Linked DNA regions of Kluyveromyces lactis. The protein of the gene in region 4 purifies or fractionates together with the protein of the main gene of each other region. This does not show direct contact. Links are inferred from orthologs where the notes say so. Each region holds a gene or a part of one and is shown on either strand. Other genes may lie near its edges.

What was found. Proteins that work in one complex are often made in the same cells at the same time.
Region 1: the proteins of GCD11 (region 4) and GCD1 purify together in Saccharomyces cerevisiae (affinity purification with mass spectrometry; 9 studies listed by BioGRID, with this or other methods). This does not show direct contact. The link is inferred for Kluyveromyces lactis from reciprocal best matches to the Saccharomyces cerevisiae genes GCD11 and GCD1.
Region 2: the proteins of GCD11 (region 4) and GCD6 purify together in Saccharomyces cerevisiae (affinity purification with mass spectrometry; 8 studies listed by BioGRID, with this or other methods). This does not show direct contact. The link is inferred for Kluyveromyces lactis from reciprocal best matches to the Saccharomyces cerevisiae genes GCD11 and GCD6.
Region 3: the proteins of GCD11 (region 4) and GCD2 purify together in Saccharomyces cerevisiae (affinity purification with mass spectrometry; 5 studies listed by BioGRID, with this or other methods). This does not show direct contact. The link is inferred for Kluyveromyces lactis from reciprocal best matches to the Saccharomyces cerevisiae genes GCD11 and GCD2.

Annotation. Positions count from the first base shown.
Region 1 is NC_006039.1:829,646-834,550, forward strand, and holds GCD1 (translation initiation factor eIF2B subunit gamma), read right to left. Parts: upstream 2,977-4,905; coding exon 1,492-2,976; downstream 1-1,491. Other genes in the region: COX10 (protoheme IX farnesyltransferase), read left to right, coding at 1-1,239; proteasome regulatory particle base subunit RPT4, read left to right, coding at 3,416-4,720; HNT3 (DNA 5'-adenosine monophosphate hydrolase), read right to left, coding at 4,817-4,905. UniProt on the Saccharomyces cerevisiae protein: Acts as a component of the translation initiation factor 2B (eIF2B) complex, which catalyzes the exchange of GDP for GTP on the eukaryotic initiation factor 2 (eIF2) complex gamma subunit.
Region 2 is NC_006037.1:381,784-387,243, forward strand, and holds GCD6 (translation initiation factor eIF2B catalytic subunit epsilon), read right to left. Parts: upstream 3,703-5,460; coding exon 1,492-3,702; downstream 1-1,491. Other genes in the region: Rho family GTPase CDC42, read right to left, coding at 460-1,035; MSS4 (1-phosphatidylinositol-4-phosphate 5-kinase), read right to left, coding at 5,223-5,460. UniProt on the Saccharomyces cerevisiae protein: Acts as a catalytic component of the translation initiation factor 2B (eIF2B) complex, which catalyzes the exchange of GDP for GTP on eukaryotic initiation factor 2 (eIF2) and is regulated by phosphorylated eIF2.
Region 3 is NC_006042.1:773,235-778,424, reverse strand, and holds GCD2 (translation initiation factor eIF2B subunit delta), read right to left. Parts: upstream 3,301-5,190; coding exon 1,492-3,300; downstream 1-1,491. Other genes in the region: MRPL51 (mitochondrial 54S ribosomal protein mL43), read left to right, coding at 853-1,281; mitochondrial 37S ribosomal protein mS44 MRP13, read right to left, coding at 3,740-4,705; KLLA0_F08283g (uncharacterized protein), read left to right, coding at 5,094-5,190. UniProt on the Saccharomyces cerevisiae protein: Acts as a component of the translation initiation factor 2B (eIF2B) complex, which catalyzes the exchange of GDP for GTP on the eukaryotic initiation factor 2 (eIF2) complex gamma subunit.
Region 4 is NC_006040.1:896,728-901,595, reverse strand, and holds GCD11 (translation initiation factor eIF2 subunit gamma), read left to right. Parts: upstream 1-1,737; coding exon 1,738-3,300; downstream 3,301-4,868. Other genes in the region: leucine-responsive transcriptional regulator LEU3, read left to right, coding at 1-1,270; GTPase-activating protein SST2, read right to left, coding at 3,438-4,868. UniProt on the Saccharomyces cerevisiae protein: As a subunit of eukaryotic initiation factor 2 eIF2, involved in the early steps of protein synthesis.

The DNA of each region.
Region 1 (4,905 bases), on a different chromosome or scaffold from region 4:
TCTGGAAACAATAACTCCGAGCAAAACCAGGTTCACATCAATACGGCCCCAATAGAGTTTACTGCGAATCTTTTGGCAGGTAAAAACGAAACTGAAGCTGAAACTGAAGGCCTCAAAGGAACTGCTCTAAAAGCATTGAGATGCAATGACACAACCTCAGATTCAGAACCGCAGCATAATATGGAGAACCTACCGTTCAAAGTTAAACTCGTGGATAAAGGACAAAGGAAGCAGATAAAGGAATCCAAGGCCAGAGTAGAGCCTCGCCCCGAGGTCTCTTTGAAGAAAACATATATCGAGCCTTATCTACAGTTGTCGAAACCTAGACTTACAGTTTTAGTGATGTTGAGCGCAATATGTTCGTACGCACTATCACCATATCCAGCTACAGTCTTGCAACTATTATCATTGACTGTGGGTACCACCTTGTGTTCAGCATCTGCCAATGCCATAAATATGGGCCGTGAGCCTGATTTCGATCGTCAAATGATTAGAACGCAGGCCAGACCTGTTGTTAGAGGAATAGTATCACCAAATCAAGCATTCAAATTTGCTACTGCGGCAGGTACCCTCGGTACATCTATTTTATGGTTAGGTGTTAATCCAACGGTGGCCTTCCTTGGTTTTTCCAACATCGCTTTATATGCATGGTTATACACTTCATTAAAAAGGAAACACATAATTAACACATGGGTTGGAGCACTTGTCGGTGCAATTCCTCCTCTAATGGGGTGGGCTGCATCTTCTCCATTATCCCATCCTGGTGCATGGTGTCTTGCTGGGTTGTTATACGCATGGCAATTCCCACATTTCAATACGTTAAGTCACAACATCAGGAATGAGTACAAGAACGCGGGATACGTCATGACTGCATGGAAGAATCCAAAGCTTAATGCTCGTGTAGCTCTGCGATACTCACTTCTGATGTTCCCATTATGTTTTGGTCTTTCATACTTCAATGTCACCGACTGGTATTATCAATTGGATTCAGCATTTGTTAATGCTTGGATGTCACTATGGGCATTCAAGTTTTATTTCCAGCAAAAGCGTAATTACTCCAAGGAGATATACAATAACAAGACAGAATTCAACAAAGGGTTGGCAATGGCCAACGTTTATGCGAGGAGAACATTCTGGGTCAGTGTACTACATTTGCCGGCAGTATTGATTTTAGCAATTTTGCATAAAAAGGACCGTTGGGACTGGCTCTTTGAAGATAAGAAACAACTCTCAGCATAATTTCACACATTCATTCAACATCAGGAAAATCTTACTTGTGAATAGTAATTTATTATTATGTATTTAATTCAGAACGAAAATCATCAATTATTTTGTAAACATAAACTGTAAATATTCAGAAATCCGTTCAAGAAGTTTACACAAGCTCAGAAGATTAGTTATCAGATTTCTATAATTATTAAGGTACACATGGTACGGCTATTTGATCATGATATATGCAAAAATACTCTATTTATAATAATTTACCGAAGTTCAACGGTCGAAGAGTCCATCATCAACATAATCCTCATCGTCATAATATTCATCAGTGTAATCAGACTCGGATCCAGATGAATCTGAATCCAGTAAAGAGGATGCGTAATCTTCGTCATCTATGTAAATACTTGTCAAAGTTTCACCCTTGAGAGTGGATTTTTCATTGACAATATAAGAGCCCTCAACATAACAATTTGTAAGCTTTGATTTCTTGCCGATTTTTGCATTTCTACCGATGATGACATTTTCTAGCTGGGTTTCATCATCAATTTCAACATTATCAAGCACAACACACCCAACGATACGGCATCGCTTTCCTACTTTACAATTGTCACCGAGGACCGAACGTTTAATATTGGTTTTCTCCAAAATTGCACAATTGTTACCAACCATAGAATCTGCACCGATAGCAGAAGAACCATCAGTAGTGCGTTGTTGAATCGCCGTTTGTTTAATCTTCAAAACGTACCTATTGGATTCCATGTATGCACTCAAACTGTTTGATCTGATAAATAATCCGATTTCAGGTAACACGAAGATACCTATAGTTTCTCTGGGTTTCACATGCTGCCACGAACGCCTAGACAAATCCCTGAATAGCTTGCCTAGCGATTTATTACAGTTTATTGGATCTTTGATTAATTTCTTCTTTCCCTTCAAGAAAGACGTGTTCTGGAATGATGTGGCCAAAGAATCAACGGCTTCCGAATCAGAGTCTAATTCTCCAGCACCTTTCTCGGTTTCATCCTTCAATAGGTTTACTAACTCATGAGAGCAAAAGTAAATGAAGGAGTTCAGTAATTTTGTGGATACAGAGGAGTTCGGATATCTCCAAAGCATTTGGGATCTGATTTGTAAATATTTCGTTTTGTCCACATCGTCTTTGGAATAAACGTCTAGAAGAACGGGCTTACTAACAGACTCCAAATTCTCGGAGTATACAGTCAGGAATTGCTTTAAATGCTTCTTATCGATATTCTCAAACCCATTGTGATAATATACTGCCATAGCTAGATTCTCCGGATCTTTATTCAAATACTGATCTAAAAACACCTGTGGTGGAATGTCTGTGATGAAATCACAAGGTAACAACACGAAATCTCCAGTTATCTTATCTAGCAATTCATTCTTCAGACATTCTCCTGTATTCTCACATTTTGAGGGTATAATATTAATAGGAGATGGTTTTTTCAAATAGTGAGCATGGTTCGATCCAACGCTTTGGGATAACAGTCCAAAATAATGCCCTCTCACTTCACGGTATTTTTTCAAACTTTCCTCTAATTCGTCAGCATCGGATGCGTCAATAACTAGATTGACCTCTTTAAATTGGGCTTGCTCACACCAATCTAGTACGAACTCAATCATGGAGCGGTTTGCAACCGGCAATAGAGCTTTGGGAACACCAGTGTCTCCACGAACATTGGAAAACGGTGTTAGCTTCGCACCACGTCCACAGAATATAAAAGCTTGAAAATCCATTGTTCTGTACTATTCTGGGAATATTAAACTGTCTTATCTGGAGATCAACGCATCAATAAAACGTAGAACCCACTATATATCTTCAAACTGTACCGTGGCAGGTCATCATCCTACGTGATGCTTAGGTTAGTCAATACTCCATCTTATATTGAAAAGCTTTATTCCTGAAAATTTCAAAATCGTGCGTAATGATCTCCCTTTCTATTTAGTAGATTCCGAATGCTTTTGCCACCATTCAATCTAGTAACCCATAGTCCAAATGAAGAGAATAGGTAAGAAAGGCCAAATCCAACCAATTGAGTTGAGTCAATCCATTATAACAGTACTAGTCCAACCAGGAAGGAATACTGACAGAATAAAGGTACGGGATTTTTCTCCTTTCATATTGAGAAGCAGGAATAGGAAGATTAAGCTAGTCTGATCAGAATAAATACTAAAGATGTCTCAAGAACAGGATCCTTTACTAGCAGCAATGGAAGAAAACGATGGTGATGACACTAACGGAGCTGGTACCAACTCTAATTCGGGAGAAAATAACGCTGCCGCACCTGAAACGGTGGAGCCTGTGGATCCAGAACAGGCTGCAAAGGAAAAAGCGATGTTACATTTTAAGAAAAGACTTATGGAACACAGACGATACGACGATATGTTGAAGCAACGCAGAGAAACCATACGGGTACTAGAAGCAGAATATGAGAGAACAGAACAGGATATCAAGGCGTTACAGTCGATTGGCCAACTCATTGGGGAAGTTATGAAGGAACTTTCCGAGGAAAAATACATTGTAAAAGCGTCATCAGGTCCTCGTTATATTGTGGGTGTGAGGAACTCCGTTGATCGTTCCAAGCTAAAGAAGGGTGTCAGAGTCACACTTGATATTACTACATTAACTATTATGAGAATTTTACCTAGAGAAACTGACCCATTAGTTTATAATATGACCACTTTTGAACAAGGTGAAATCTCTTTTGATGGTATCGGTGGTCTTACGGAACAGATCAGAGAATTGAGAGAAGTCATTGAGCTTCCACTAAAGAACCCAGAAATTTTCGAGAGAGTGGGAATCAAACCACCTAAGGGTGTGTTACTATATGGTCCTCCTGGTACTGGTAAGACTTTATTGGCTAAGGCAGTTGCTGCAACTATCGGTGCCAACTTTATCTTCTCCCCAGCATCCGGTATTGTAGATAAATACATCGGTGAATCAGCACGTATCATTAGAGAAATGTTTGCATACGCCAAAGAACATGAACCTTGTATCATCTTTATGGACGAAATAGATGCTATCGGTGGACGTAGATTTAGCGAAGGTACCTCAGCAGATCGTGAAATTCAACGTACATTGATGGAACTATTAACTCAGATGGATGGTTTCGACAACTTAGGACAAACGAAAGTTATTATGGCTACGAATAGACCTGACACTTTAGATCCTGCTTTACTAAGACCTGGTAGATTGGACAGAAAAATCGAAATCAGTTTACCAAATGAGGCAGGAAGATTAGAAATCTTCAAGATTCATACATCCAATGTAAAAAAAGCTGGAGAATTTGACTTTGAAGCTGCAGTCAAGATGAGTGATGGATTTAACGGTGCGGATATCCGTAACTGTATAACTGAAGCAGGGTTCTTCGCTATCAGGGACGACCGCGATTATATAAACCAGGAAGATCTAATGAAAGCCGTGAGAAAGGTTGCCGAAGTCAAGAAGCTCGAAGGCAAGCTTGAATATCAAAAGTTGTAATGAATATACACACTTGTTTAGGCATCTCAAGTAGATTCATAATTTTAAGATTAAAAACCAACCACTATAGTATAAGCGCTAAAATTGTTGCCGTAATTATGAATCATTAGTAAATCTATTAAACGATGAAATAGCCCTATCTGCAGTTATTAAACCTTTTTTTGACACGAAACGCATATTAAACT
Region 2 (5,460 bases), on a different chromosome or scaffold from region 4:
AGAGGTTAAATATATCATGAGATAATGAAATCCACACACGAAGAGTAATTTCGTTGAGGTTTTATACTTAAACAAAGCGATACTCCATAGTGTTTAGTTTTTCGCTTCGAACCAGTTTCGTATTTTAGACGGTTTAGAATTCAAACAAAGAACCAAACGTTTGGTACTTCAGTTTGTCTATAGAAATGTCAAAGAGTTATGAAGTAGTTTTGGTAGTTTTAGGATGTTGGTTTAGTGAAATGTAACGCTTTTTCTGGAGATGGGGGGTAGAGCTTTTTTTCTCTTTTGAACCTGCAAAAACTTGGAAACACACTCTCTATCTCACAATCATCTATAAATATAAAACTGGACTTGATGGTGAACGGGAAGATTGTTAAGAACGCTCATCCTTGAGTGAGAAACTTCTTACCTGATACATGTACTGGTAATAAAAAAAAAAAATACAAGGCCGATCACTTTTCACAATATAATACATTTTTTACTCTTTTTAATGACTGGAGGTTCCAGAGCAGCAACAATAGCTTCGTCGAAAACGTTTTTCAAACCACGCTGGGTAAGAGCCGAACATTCAACATATTTTACGGCTCTAAGCTCTCTGGCTAACCTTTCACCTTGCTCTGGAGTGATAGGACGAAGCCTTTGTCTCTGTAGTTTTTCAATAATCACTTTATCATCTCTTAAATCTATCTGAGTACCCACAATCAAACATGGAACACCAGGACAATGATGATGTACTTCTGGGAACCATTTTTCTTTTACGTTCTCAAAAGAAGGAGGAGATATAACACTGAAACAAACCAAGAACACGTCTGTTGATGGGTATGATAACGGTCTTAATCTATCATAATCTTCTTGACCAGCTGTATCGAAAAGACCTAGCGTGTATGGCTCATCGCCAATCATCACCGTAACAGCATAATTGTCGAAAACGGTTGGAACGTAGTCGGCTGGAAACTGGTTAGTTGTGTATGAAATTAGAAGACACGTCTTACCGACAGCACCATCACCTATAACAACACACTTAAGAGTTTGCATGTTTTAAATTCCTTTCTTCCTTGCTTTTATACTACTATCACTGCAGGCCTTTACGGTGTTACTTCCGGCTGACTGTGCTATGTCTAACATCCAATTTGTCTGACTACTCTCCTTCATCACATACATATCTTCGTCCTCCTGTTCTGTTATTTCAATTTTGAAATGGGAATATGTTAATAGATAAGGAAGTTAGGGTAACGTTGTAACGTGACTTGAATTATTTTCAGTCAAACTCTCCCATATAGAATACAGGAAGACCGCATAGGCGGTTGGCAGTCCGGTAGTGAGGACACTAGCCTTGAAATGCGTACGTATATTTGTCTATAGATTACTTTGCATATGGTTATCTCACGTTTACTCGAAATGCTACATGCTACATTATATTGATTGATATTGACCAATCTTGAACTTCGGAGGAACCATGAAAATTCAAAGGGCATTTATGACGTTATTGACTTATTCGTCTTCGTCACTGTCTTCTTCATCAGATGATTCTTCATCTGCAGTCTTTAGCCAGTCCACCCATTTGGCCAGTAGAGCAGTAACTTCGCTGTATTTTGAATCACCGCTTACAGAGTCCCACCATTTGTAAATGACATCTTCCTCTAAGATATCCAAATCATACAAGACATTATATACATGGAATAGAATGAAATCTGGTTTATCGAATTTCTGATCTAGCACACGATCCAGAATGATATTCATTAGATCAATGAACTCATCACTATCAAATGCTTGTCTCTTAAACACAGGACCCCATTGTTGTAAGACTTTAGTGACAGCGTCCTTTGGACCTAGTGTTTGTGTGGCTACAAAGTGGTAAACTCTTCTGAATATAGCGATAACAGAAGCATTCCTGACTTCATGATAAGTGACGTTCATACTCATTCTCAAAGTGTTTAGTTCAAGCATTGATGTGTCTAAATCGTGGTTGTTCTCTATAGCTCTTTCAACTGTTGCGATGGCTTCTTTTTCGAAATCTTCTTCTTCGTCTTCTTCTCCTTCGTAATCAGTATAGATACTAGTCATCGACATGGTTCTCCTCTTTCTATGTTTTTGAGTGATGGATGATATGGAAGTATCCGATAAATAAATGTCATCGTCTCTGTACGTTAATGTGTTCGCAATACCCTTTTCGGTCGATCCATCTTCATCTTCATCCTCATCATCACTTTCGTATAGTACGCCTCTCCCGTTTGGCCCAACCAACTGCTTAGATAGTTTAATCTTCGCATCGGCAACTTCATCGGAATTACTGATTGATAAAGAAGATGAATTTCTGGTGAATGTGCTTCCTTCTTCGTCCTCATCGCTGGAAGAAAGATTATGTGCTGTATCTAAGAATTGAGCTGTGTTCCTCTGTACTGGAACCGCTGAAATCTTGGTTCCAACTGGGATTGTAACATTATCGTCAATCACTACATTGAATCCGATAATGGAACCATCATTCAAGGTGACGTTTGATCCTAATTTAACATCTGAAGCAACTAAAGAGTGCTCAATTGTAGTGTTATCATCAATGACAACATTGTCCCAAATGTAACTGTTTTTGATTCTGATGTTTGAGCCAATTTTACAATTTCTACCAACAACACTATTTTCAATGACTGTACCTTCTCCAATCTTGGATCCTGAGCCGATGGCCGTGTTTTTCTTTATCTTACAGGACTGCGCTAATACCACGTCTTTTTCCTTATAAATGTGTTGGCTTTCGTATGAATAAGTTTGGCCCTTTAAAAGGTTGGCATTAAGAACCAATGGGTAACACCATCTAGCAATAAAATCTTGCGAGATAGCATCATACGTTTGCCAACTTTCTGCTCTAGTGGTGTATTCGTCGGTAATGTACCCGTAGATATGTTTCTTCAACAAATCACTAGAAAGCACACCTCTAACAAAATCTCTTCTCAAGAATTGGTAATCGAAATTCTCTTGGAAAATAGCAGGGACATGAGGAGAACAGATATCTACATGGCAATCAATCAAATCGTTGCGTAACACAAACTCGTCAACACCTTCCAGAAGTTCAGGATCAATATCAATGGTAGTTTTTTCTCTAGAGCTAGCCAATGGGATATCCTGGTAGTAAATACATCTATCATTAGACTTATCAAAAATGAACGTTGCTGGTTCATGAGACCTTGTCTTATGAAACTGAGTCGCTTTACTTAGGCACATAGTGACAATATGATCCTTATCAGCCTTTCTCCTTTGTTTATGAATATCTAAAGCCTTTTCAAAGTCCATATTAGTCACCAAATCACCACTAACAAGTACGAAATCACCGGTAATTAGCCCACGGTTATCGACATCTCTCATTGCATCTCCAACAGATCTGGACTCTAGCGACATGATGGTATTCACCTTAAACGGAGCCCATGGTAAACTCCATTTGGACTGATCGATATATTCCTGGATCTGTTCACCATGCGATGCACAAATCAGATAAACTTCGTTGACTCCGGCCTTAGCTAAGAACTCCAAAGTATATTCAATCAAGGGAATGTTGGCCAACGGCAACAAACATCTTGGTTTCACCGAAGTCAAAGGCATAAACCTAGTCTCAAACGAGTCAGTCAAAACAATCGCTTGTAAACGTTCATCTTGAACAACCTCTTGTTTCTTATTCTGATTGGCTTTACCAGATTTGGTCTTCTTTCCACTCATCTTTCGATTGTAAATTACGGGAAACTCTGGAAACAAAAAAAGCTTAAATGAGTACAAGTATACTATTAATAAACAGGGTACCTTTTTCCCCGTTCTAACCAAAAGACTAAGCGTTTCCAGAGCGATAAAGTTGGATGATTTTCTCTTCTCGATAAACTCATCATCATGTGTAATATGTAATTAATTGATTGTTCAATATTCAAATTTCATGTCATTTCTCACTTTCAATTTGAAAATAAGGAAGAACCAAGACAAGAAAAAAATTTCAGATACAACGCTCTGCGTGAATTTCTGTGTAAAAATCAGAATCATCATAGTAACCCATAAAAAAAAGATAGTTGAAATATGAGAAAAAAATAGATGCCCCTGGTGGGGTTTGAACCCACGACTATCGCGTTGCTTTGAAACGACCTTTTGAAGGGCCAATTTTCATAGAATGTTCCATATTGATTGGAGTCACACTATAAGCACGATGCTCTAAACCACTGAGCTACAGGGGCTTCAATGATGTCTTATTTGCTTTTGTTGATGTTTATATTCTGCGAACCAATAATTTTTTTTACCAAAAGAAGGCATACCTTGAACCATAATGAACACACAATTGGCCCTTCAATAAACCATTAATTGAATTAGCAGAGGTTCTTTGAACTTTTGTTTAGAATATCATTCCTATTTAGAGGTTTATTATAAAATTTACCTAGCAGCAAACATTACATAGAGTATCAATCAAACACCAACATAACAAACATTTACAGCATGTTCCTAGGCAGCTGGAACGTTCTCTCGGAGGAGGTTGCTGTACATACACAGGCTGTTGTTGGGCGTAGTAGCCTTGCTGTGGCTGGTTGTGATTTCTCATAGTATTAATTTTTTTAGTGATAGTTCTTCAGAATAGGGTCTTTCAGTTTCCTATTGGTATTAGAACAGTACGGCTAACACAACAGACCTATTGATTCACTTGAGTGGAGTTGGCAAAGAACTTATACAATTAAAACCCAACATGCTTCAAGTGACATTATATATCAAAAAAAAAATATCAACAATATACAGTCCGAGTAAATGATGGATCGAGTTCTTGCTTATATATATTTTGTATGTGGAGTCGACGTAATTGTTGTACCTTATTTTTAACTGCTTTAAGTGATATTTTTGTTATCACTGCCATTTCCATGAGGCTTCCGCTATTCGACATTTTTTTTTGATTTTTGGGTTTTTTTTTTGCTTTGCTTTTAAACAATAAGCATGAAAGCAGTGCGACAGATATTAAGTTTAGTACGAAACGTAAGTTTAATTATGTAAGTGCACACATTGATTAACACATTCTATCTTAATATGGATAAGTAGAGAAAAGAATTATAGTAACTAAATCAAATAGTGGAAGAATTTCTGGAAGTGTAGGGTCCGTATGGCGTACGTATAAGATTTGGTTTAGGTAAAGATTTGACAGCCCATGAAGTAAATTTGAAATACGTCATTTTTAATTGTATTAGAGAATAATTTGAGCAGCAGCTTGTCAGATATCAGTCGTGATATCCTGGCTGTTGTTGATTTTCGTCGTAATGTTTATTAACTGAATTTTCAATGAAATGGTAAAATCTGTCGCCGTAAACTTTGGGTGGAACAGCACTTACCACTTTCAAATCGTGATTCATACTTCTCCAAAGTGTTTCCATTCTCTTGAGCATCGAGTAGTTCGTCAAACAATCAATAATTCCTACGAAATATATTTGGTTTAAGTCATTGTTGAATTGATCTGAG
Region 3 (5,190 bases), on a different chromosome or scaffold from region 4:
TGACTGTTCGCTACTTACAAGTGAATGTTTTTTAGGGGTGGTCATCGTTATACGCATCCTTAAAAAAACGCATAGAACTTTAATTTTTCAATAGTTATAGGGACATTATACGCACCATAATGATAAACTGGTGACTATTATGGCAATACATTTGCCTGTTCTTGAACAAAGTGTCATACACTTACATCACACTTAATAGGGAGTGCCCAGTTAATTGGTTTAAATGACGCATGTGCATAATTTTTTTAACAAATTACTAGTGTGCATCCAACATACGCTAGGTGTCAATCCGTACATTCCATGGGTGAACGCAAATCAGGCCCTTTATTTAATTAACCTCATATGAAGCCTTTGGGACATCTTGGATCAGAATCTGGGGCCTCTATCGTACTTTCTATGGATTTGCTCAGTAAAAGTACCCTTAACCAAACGCTGGTAGTGCATTATTGTCATAACCCATCGACAGATCATCAAGTTTACATGACGTATGACATCTCATGAGGATGTGTTGACATAGCAATGTGAAAGAAACAGAATATAGTCGGAAAGAGGTTCTGTATTATTTACATTCGTCACCTTATAGCAGTGTTGGTACCAGTATCTTTTTCATTTGTGTGAGCATGTGGTGAATTGTCCTCCTACCTTCGAATACATACAGATTTGTTCACGTGACTGATGGTCTTTTGAAATTGGAAAAAAATAATCATGAACTGAAAACTCGAATAAAACTCAAAAGATATATTAGTGAATCTATGTTCTGCATCTGAAGGATCTCTCCACAGTTTCAAAATACACCCAACTTGTTTTCTAATCAGAGCTGGTACCCGCGGTCATAAAGATTTCTCTGAAGTAATGGTTGTTAAAGTTTTGAGACAAACTTCTATCGCAAGAAATGGTGTTGGCGCTTTTGTGCTTCCATGTAAAAAGATCACTTTGCAATACTGTAATTGGGGTGGTTCCTCACAGGGTTTGAGAGATTTCCTAACGTCTAACAGAATGATTCAATGGGCTGAAAAATATCCAACAATACAGTTCGAAATAGTAAGAAAGTCTGGCCATCCAGTTATAAAAGGTGACTATGTTAATGGCCGTAATAAAGCCATCTGCGTAAAAAATCTGAACATTGATAATGTAGAGAATAAGTTAAAACTAATCAGAGACGCATCTGGTGAGCAACTCCGTCACAGAACTAAGAACGACAATGTGGATACTTTGAACGATAGTGTGAGAGGTATCTGGTCTCCACTACATTTAAGCCCAGCCATCAGACACAAGGTTTGAATCGAAAAAATGACTTGTGAATGGTAATATCGAGATCATAGCTTAACTTGTACATATATATAGCAATATCCTCGATGAAGCCGATACCTAAGTAAACAACCTACGATGTTGAATATTACTACGCAATTAATAAAAAAGAAGATCTATACTAATTTTTCATTTACTATATTATATGATATTATCGTATATTATATATGCAAAGGGCTCCATTCAAGCTGATGCTTTGTATTCTCTAAGAACCACGGGAACAGAAGATGGTGGCAACGAACCAAATTCTGTAATGATCTTCTTGATGTAGTCAGGGGGTGTTAAATCGTACATTATATTGAAGATGTGCAAATTAGGTGATTTCTCCCACTCTGCTAGTATTGGTTTATCCTTGACATTCTTACCTTCGTCGGCAGTAGCATTATTGGTATTAGCACTGCCAGATTTATTATTTTGCTTAGAGCTATTCTCGACTTCCTTCTGCTGCGCTTCACGCTCTTTGATAAATTGCTGTAATAAGAACCCATTGTTGTTACGTCTCTGTACAGGATTAGCAGAGTCAATGGTTACCAAATCGTTTGGATCAGCAAGTTCATTAGATGTGACACTATCAAGCTGTACCCTTTGAGAGAACTTTAAAGACTCACAGCATACAAGTACAGGAATATTTCTTCTGCTTGCCAACATAGCGATCTGAGCAGTACCGACTCTTGAATATAGGAAACCATTTGAAAGAATCGAATGCGCTCCCAAAAACACATATTTGATATCCATATTGAATACGGTACCCAATGCTGTAATGGGAACATACAAAACATTAAGACCTTGATTTCTCAAAGATTCTGCCATTTTACGACCCTCAAACAAAGGTCTACTGTCCACTATAACAATTTGGAAGTTCTTACCGAAATTTATGGCGTTGTGTAGGAATAAATCAGTTAAAACCTTGGAACAGCCATAGGTCAATATAGTGCTGCCTTCTTCAATATGTTGTGAAGCTGTTTCAATGATAAGTTGATCAGCCAACTGCACTCTTTCTCTAGCGAACTGTGCAATCTTATCACAAAGTTCTTTTTTGGCCTTTGAATCCGGTGTTGAAGGATCGATTAGAGAGATTTCTTGCTTCAACCATCTAATGGCATTACCCATGGTTACACTCAATGGTCTTGACTTCTTCAAGAAATCAATTTGATGGGACAGGTAACTTGTCAAATTACGTGAAAGAGTAGTACCTTCTGGAGTCTTGTAGTCTCTGACAACCAGTTGGAATGCCTCTAACATGGCAATACAACGAGGAATGGAACCTATAATTTTATAGAATGCATAATCCAAAGTCAGAGAGGTGATAGCGGGATGTAACATTTCGCGATTGGCAATCAATTCTTTTACAGAGGCAATCGATTGTTGATTTGTAAATTGTGAAGTCATGGTATTTGGAATGACGGATGATATTCCTGGGACAAATGAAGACGATTCATCAAGGGACAAGGAATTTAGCATTTGATGGGCTTCAAAATCTTCTGAATGAGCCAAACCTGCCAAATTAGTATTGCTTCCAGAAAGGTTTGAACTCAAAGGAGATGCAGACATTGGTTGGGAAACCGCAACCGCGGGTGTAGTAGCAAGTAAAGGCAATACTAACCCATTAGCAGTAATCCTTGAGGTACCTGTAGAAGTGATAGCACTCGAAACTGCAAGTAAAGAAGCTCTTCTTTCTTCAGCAGTCTCTAGATGACCAAATAGAGTCGACTTCTTGGTATCATGTTTGACCGGGTCGGCTGCTTTATTCTTTTTTGCAGCTAAGAGATCTCTTTGTTGCTGCTTCTTTTCACGCTTAGCAGCAGCTTGCTGCTGCTGTTTTTCAATAGAGATACCACTAGCTTGCTTACTGGCTGCTCTCTTTGCAGCCTTCTCCTTCTTTTTCAGTTCCTTCAACTCTTTATTAGATAAAGGTTTTTCTCCTTCTTGTGCATTTGCCGTCTTTTCAGTATTAGTTTCTTTCCCTGAAGCCTCCTTAGCTCCTCCTGTCATTATTGGTGATTTGATACCTCAAAGTATACCGTTATTTGCCAATAGATTTCCGTTGGATCACAGGAACTGCGAGATCATCGATTGGTATTTATGTCAGCTTTTGAATAATTTCACCAAAATTGAAATTCTTAAAAAGAATGATGGAAAACTCGTTGACGGTGATTTCCTTGCAGATCGAACAAACTCAGTGCCCGAGTTGGCTAGCGGGAGTGACATGGTACCAGGCGCTAATTGACGAACATTTACTCAATTTGCGATGAATCCGTGACGGCACATCAATAATTATATAATAGAAGTATATTGTGTGAGTTTCTTTATGAATTATGGTCATTTTGTTAATGTTTTTTGAATTTCTAGTAATATTCTTAACTGACGTTGATTCTTATATATATATACATGAACGGTTCTGGGAAATATTGGTTACGGATAAGTCTATCCTTTATTTCGTTTCTTCTGCTTGTGCATCTGCATGAGCTTCTTCTGTCGTTTCAGATTCAGTAGCCTTTTGAGTTAACAGCTGTTTGTATTGGGATACGTATTTGTCGTAAATGTCAGCAACCGAGTTTTGCGCTAAAACGGCTTGATAGTTTTCAACAAACTGTTGCAGCTTAGCTTCAGTTGAGCCGAAGTCTAATGCTGTTCTGCTCAACAAATACTGGGTGGTGTTCTTTGTCAAGAAAGTCCTTAATTGATTTTGGCTTGCAGTGCTAACATCGATCGATGGCAAGTTAATTTCAATATTTCTAGCGAAATTAGGTAATTTCACCTCAACGTTCTGTTGTCTACCCAAAGCTTGAACAATTTCCTTTGTTAAACCAGTTGTATCTTCTCTTTTGGTAACAGTCGATGATAACTTCCTTAGGCCTCTCTCTACCATGCCGGAATCTTGAACGTTTTGGAACGCATTTCTATGCAATTGACACATCAATACAGTATTATACCATACATCTACGTTATAGGCTTCTAATTGCTTTGCTTTCACCAATAATGGCTGTATTTGGTACAGAACATTCAAAACTGCTCCTAAAGCACCAAACTTGAAAGTGGAAGTTAACAACATGTTTTGTAGATGCTGGGGAATCAAATAACTCCAGAACTCTTTCCTTCTAGGTGTGATATTCTTCCAATCTCTAACCATGTTTTCCAACTCTTCAGCTGACGATGCGTTCAATATGACGCTATTGAGAACTGATGCACTTGGTCTTAACACTGATGGTCTAGGTTGAATAGGAAGTTTAGTTTCTGGATCTTTCAAATCCATGGCCAACAAACGGTTAGCATTCTTTTTGCGGTAGATGTATGGTCTTAGAGTCTGTGGTGTCTTGACAAATTGTAAGAAGTTGTCAAAGACCGCACGAGACTCTACACCAGTTGAAACCGATCTTGTGAAAAACCGAGAGAACATTCGCTGCTTTGACTGTTATATGAGGATTAAAATCAGACCTTTGTTCCTACCGCTGGCTTTTTCAACCAAATCAGAGTATTAATTGTGTTACCTCTGCCAATAACCGATGAGTTATCCCAATGATTGCAGCTGATGAAGCGTGTTTTTCTACTGTGATGTGGTGATTCAATCTTCAAGCTTTCCTCTGGCTAGTTTCCGCTCTACATAGAAATGTTGAAAACATGAAATTTTTCAACACGTACAAGATGATATCAAAAACCATATTAAAAACCTGTCTATGCATAAAGACATTGGGGCACTTATGCTTAATTGCAATCATCGATAAGCTGTTCTAAGAAACACTCTTCGCTAATTCCAGCTCCGAAAAGACTAAATAACCAGACCAAACATGAACTCTGTACTGAAAATGAATACTGAGTTGGGATATCAAGAGTATCTCGAGAAAATTACTCTTGAAGCCAATGGTGTAACCAGCGATGAGACGA
Region 4 (4,868 bases):
TGTTGATCCAACTTCCGTCCAAAAAATATCTGTGAAAGACATGGAAACAAGCTTTGCAACTAAAAGAGGACTAGTAATAGCGTACAATGCAGCCGTAAAACTCTTGAAACATGCGAAATGTATGTGGAAACGGGATCCACTAGCTGTGAAATATCTTCCAGGTGTTTATGTTCTTAATATATGGCAGGCAGCATCAATAATATCAAAGCTAGTCCATTCCTCATTGGGCTCAATTATCGATGTCGATACTGGTCATGAAGTTTATCAAGATGCTGTATCATTAATTTCGAATGCTTCTGTCCTCAAGTACGATATGGCTTATAGATCAGCTGGTATTATGAGAAGTATATGGAGCATGTTCAGCAACATGTTCGAAGAGTGGAAAGCGAAGAAAGACCAAAGTTCCTCTTCAACACAGTCAGAAAAGGATTTTAACTTGAGTATTACCATAAGATCTAGAATGTCTGTGAGTGTTTTCTTTGACTGCTTGTTCATATTAAGACAGAAGTGCGGTATGGCAAAACTAAAGAGAGAAAGAGAAAAGACAGTCTCCTCTGATGATGAAAATAGTGGCGATAACCATAACGGAGATGCAGAGTCCAAAGAACTACTGCCCAACGATGGGTATTCCGAAGAACATGCCAGAAGGATTATATCTACCATTCCACTTGACCCAGAGCCCATCAATGCACAGCAGTCCAGTGGAAGCAATATTACATCTCCGAACGGTTCACATAGTAGTGACGTTTTGTCATTGAAATCAATCCTAAACAAAACGTCCCCAAAGGACGAGATTTTGCAGAAACAGAAAAATGGTACAATGCCATCTTCATCTTCCCCTAGCAACAATATCATAGTATCACCTACAAACACACATGCTGGTGCTTCCAATGTTGAAACTAGCGGTTATCCCAGATCTCTAAATCCTTTGAACGCCGTCACAGACAATAAACTCATAAACCATTCTACCACCGCCAAGAAAACGAACTCCCCACAATTTAGGGTTTCAAGTCCGTCAAATCATAGTAAACCGACTCGAAAGATCAATCCTGCTGCGCAGTCCTTAAATGAGTTGTTGGAGCCACCAATACCGCAATCCTTCCAGTCCGTTACAAAATCGATAATATCAGAAGGAACTGAAAACAGAAAGGAAGATACGCCCTCAATTTCTCCAGGTCTTACGGAAAGATGGGACAACTGGGAATCAGATCTTGTTTGGAAAGATGTCGACATTCTAATGAACGAATTCGCATTCAATCCGACGTTGTAATATTAAATTATTGGTTATATATTTCTATAAATACTTATTATAAGACGAATTAAATCATCGGTTAACAGATTGATACTGCGAAATGACACCAACTGCTAACCTGTCACTGGCGAGAAACCTAAGCAAAACCAGATGTCGTTATGCACATTTTCCAAGTACTTAAAACATAATCACGTGATCGAAAATACCACCAGATTTCTCTTTCTGTACGAAATCGTTACTTTGTATCGAAAATTTTTTTGAATTGTAAGAATGCCAAATTCGAAATCAGTTTCAACAGAATTGAGTAGATATATGTGGATATGATTAATCTCGATGAGTAATGAAGGTGTAAAGGTATAAAGATCTTGTTAGCAACCGAGTTTAATTCCAGAGAATAGAACGGCCAGGTGCAGTATTTGGGAAAGTATCAAAAAGGATATCTAGTGATAGTTTTTTCTGATTGTTTATAATACCTAAAGTTCAGGATGTCTGATTTGCAAAACCAAGAGCCAAGTATTGTCATCAATGGGGATCTTAATGATGAGCCAATAGATACATTTGAGGTTGAAGAAGAGGAGCAAGTTTTTGATGAAGTGAAGCCTAAGAAGACTGTTACTTTCAGTGGGATTGATGATGTGGAAGCGGATGAAGAACGTAGAAAGAGAGAATTTGAAGAAGGTGGTGGTCTTCCAGAGCAACCAACGAACCCAGATTTTTCCAAGTTGAACCCTCTATCACCAGAAATTATCAATAGACAAGCCACTATCAATATTGGTACTATCGGTCATGTCGCTCACGGTAAATCTACCGTTGTGAGAGCTATTTCAGGTGTTCAAACCGTTCGTTTCAAGGATGAATTAGAACGTAATATTACCATTAAATTAGGTTACGCCAATGCCAAAATCTATAAAGCAGAAGATCCAGAATGCCCAGAACCAGACTGTTATAAGTCTTTCAGATCTGACAAAGAAGTTGCACCAAAGGTTGATCTTCCAGGTTACAGTGGACGTTATAAACTAGTCCGTCATGTTTCCTTTGTCGATTGTCCTGGTCACGATATTTTAATGTCTACCATGTTGTCTGGTGCTGCCGTTATGGATGCAGCACTACTTCTAATCGCAGGTAACGAATCCTGTCCTCAACCACAAACCTCTGAACATTTGGCTGCTATCGAAATTATGAAGTTGAAGCACGTTATCATTTTACAGAACAAAGTCGATCTAATGAGAGAAGACTCTGCTCTGGAACATCAAAAATCTATTTTGAAATTTATTAGAGGTACCATCGCTGATGGTGCTCCAATCGTTCCAATCTCAGCCCAATTGAAATATAACATTGATGCTGTGAATGAATTCATCGTGAAAAGTATTCCTGTTCCTCAAAGAGACTTCTTAGCGTCTCCGAGATTGATTGTCATTCGTTCCTTTGATGTTAACAAGCCAGGTGCCGAAATCGAAGATTTGAAGGGTGGTGTTGCCGGTGGTTCCATTTTGACTGGTGTTTTCAAATTAGGCGATGAGATCGAAATTAGACCAGGTATCGTCACTAAAGATGATCATGGTAAGATTCAATGTAAGCCAATTTTCTCCAATATCGTTTCCCTATTTGCTGAACACAACGACCTAAAATTCGCCGTTCCAGGTGGTTTGATTGGTGTTGGTACTAAGGTCGATCCAACGTTATGTAGAGCAGATCGTCTAGTGGGTCAAGTCGTTGGTGCTAAGGGCCATTTGCCATCTATCTACACCGATATCGAAATTAACTACTTCCTATTGCGTCGTCTATTAGGTGTAAAGACCGATGGTCAAAAACAAGCAAAGGTTAGAAAGTTAGAGCCAAATGAAGTTTTAATGGTGAACATCGGTTCCACCGCTACTGGTGCCCGTGTGGTTGCCGTCAAAGCCGATATGGCAAGATTACAATTAACTTCCCCTGCATGTACAGAAGTTAATGAAAAGATTGCATTATCTAGACGTATCGAAAAGCATTGGCGTTTAATTGGTTGGGCTACTATCAAGAAGGGTACCACTCTTGAACCAATCGCTTAATCTGTAAATTAACTAAATGATTTTATATATGTCTATATGTATATATTGTCACATTAATGTTCCATTTTCTTGGTAGAAAAGGCCACATTCTTTTGCAAGATGAATATCTTTATTCTTCATGATGAAATGCCTAGGTTCTACTTGTTAGCAGTTATTAATGAAATTGCGTCCCTATACGATTCTGTTGCCAGGAATTTGGGCAAAGAGTCGTTCTTCATCATGATAAATACGGTATTTCTGATTTTTTCCAGTAACTGATACAAATCCTTCAACATTGATATAGCATGAATAATGACGTATGACTCAGTACCCTTATTAAGAGGTGTCGGCGCCAATGGCATTGACGTGTTACTATGGGATTGTACTTTATGCTCCACGCATTTCTTCCGGGCAGCAGGATCGAGGCTTAAGGGTCTATTAACAGATGCATCCGAAATGGCTCTTGAACAATTTTCCTTGCCTGAAGTGTCGAACGCAGTTTTAGTTGGAGACTGAGGGTGGAATATTATTCCAGTAATTGTTTCTCTAACGTTATGATCAATATTAAGTTGATACGGAGACCCCAGTGCAATATAAGAGGAGTAAATATGGTAAACCAGCGAAAGGCATTCGCTAGTTTGTTTTAAAAGAGCTGATTGAATTGTATCTTTCAGTTTAGTACTACCACCAGTTTTCCATTCCCTTAGATCCATCTTATTGTGTTCGCTCTGGTTTCGAGACTCAATGAGTTTTCGCAGAACCGACATTCTTTTTAAAAACTTCGTTATTTCAAAGTATACGTCTAGGTTTTCTGCACACATGTCTTTGCAAAGATGCTCTCTAAAAAGATATCGCATCCCAGGATCAGCCAGAATTTGTTTGAGAGACAGCAACTTTAAACCGTCAGGATTATAATTATCGTCCCCAGTACCTGAGCTCGAACTTGAATCCGAGCTTACATCATAGTTCGACACCATTACATTTTTGGTTCCAAAATCATGTCCGCTTTTGAGCTGAGAATTACCTGGGAGTGAACGACTGGAGAGTTTTACGCTGCAATTAACGCCGCCATAATTCTCAGTATCCGTTCCGATTTTAACCCCGTCCATGAAATGCGGAATCTTGGGTAGCCCATCTACTCCCCATTGAATTACGTCCCAACCGGCTTGGGTCAATGTATAGTGTGCTGTTTTTGAAATTAGAAACTTTTTCTTGCTGTTTTGACTGGGAGGTAATAAGATTGGTGTAATTAGGCCGTATTTCAGAAAGAGTGCTGCAACTGCAACACATTCTTTAGGGTACATTATATCAGTACATTCCATCAACCATTGCCAAAGGGCTTTTGTGGTGAAACAGTAGTCAATAAACATTCCTTTTCCAAAAGTTTTGTTCCCGAACAATCGAAGCCCACAATCACTCACATAATATTGAATGTGAGAGTCAGAATCTGGATTTGAAAAAAATCTATATGCAAACGGAGATTCTCTGTCCTCATCTTCAAGTTGTCGAGAGTTTAACGAATGTAGATTGTTTTCAGTATGTTGAGACTGTGAATTTCCTGAAACATTATTTTTAGGGTTTTCACCAAG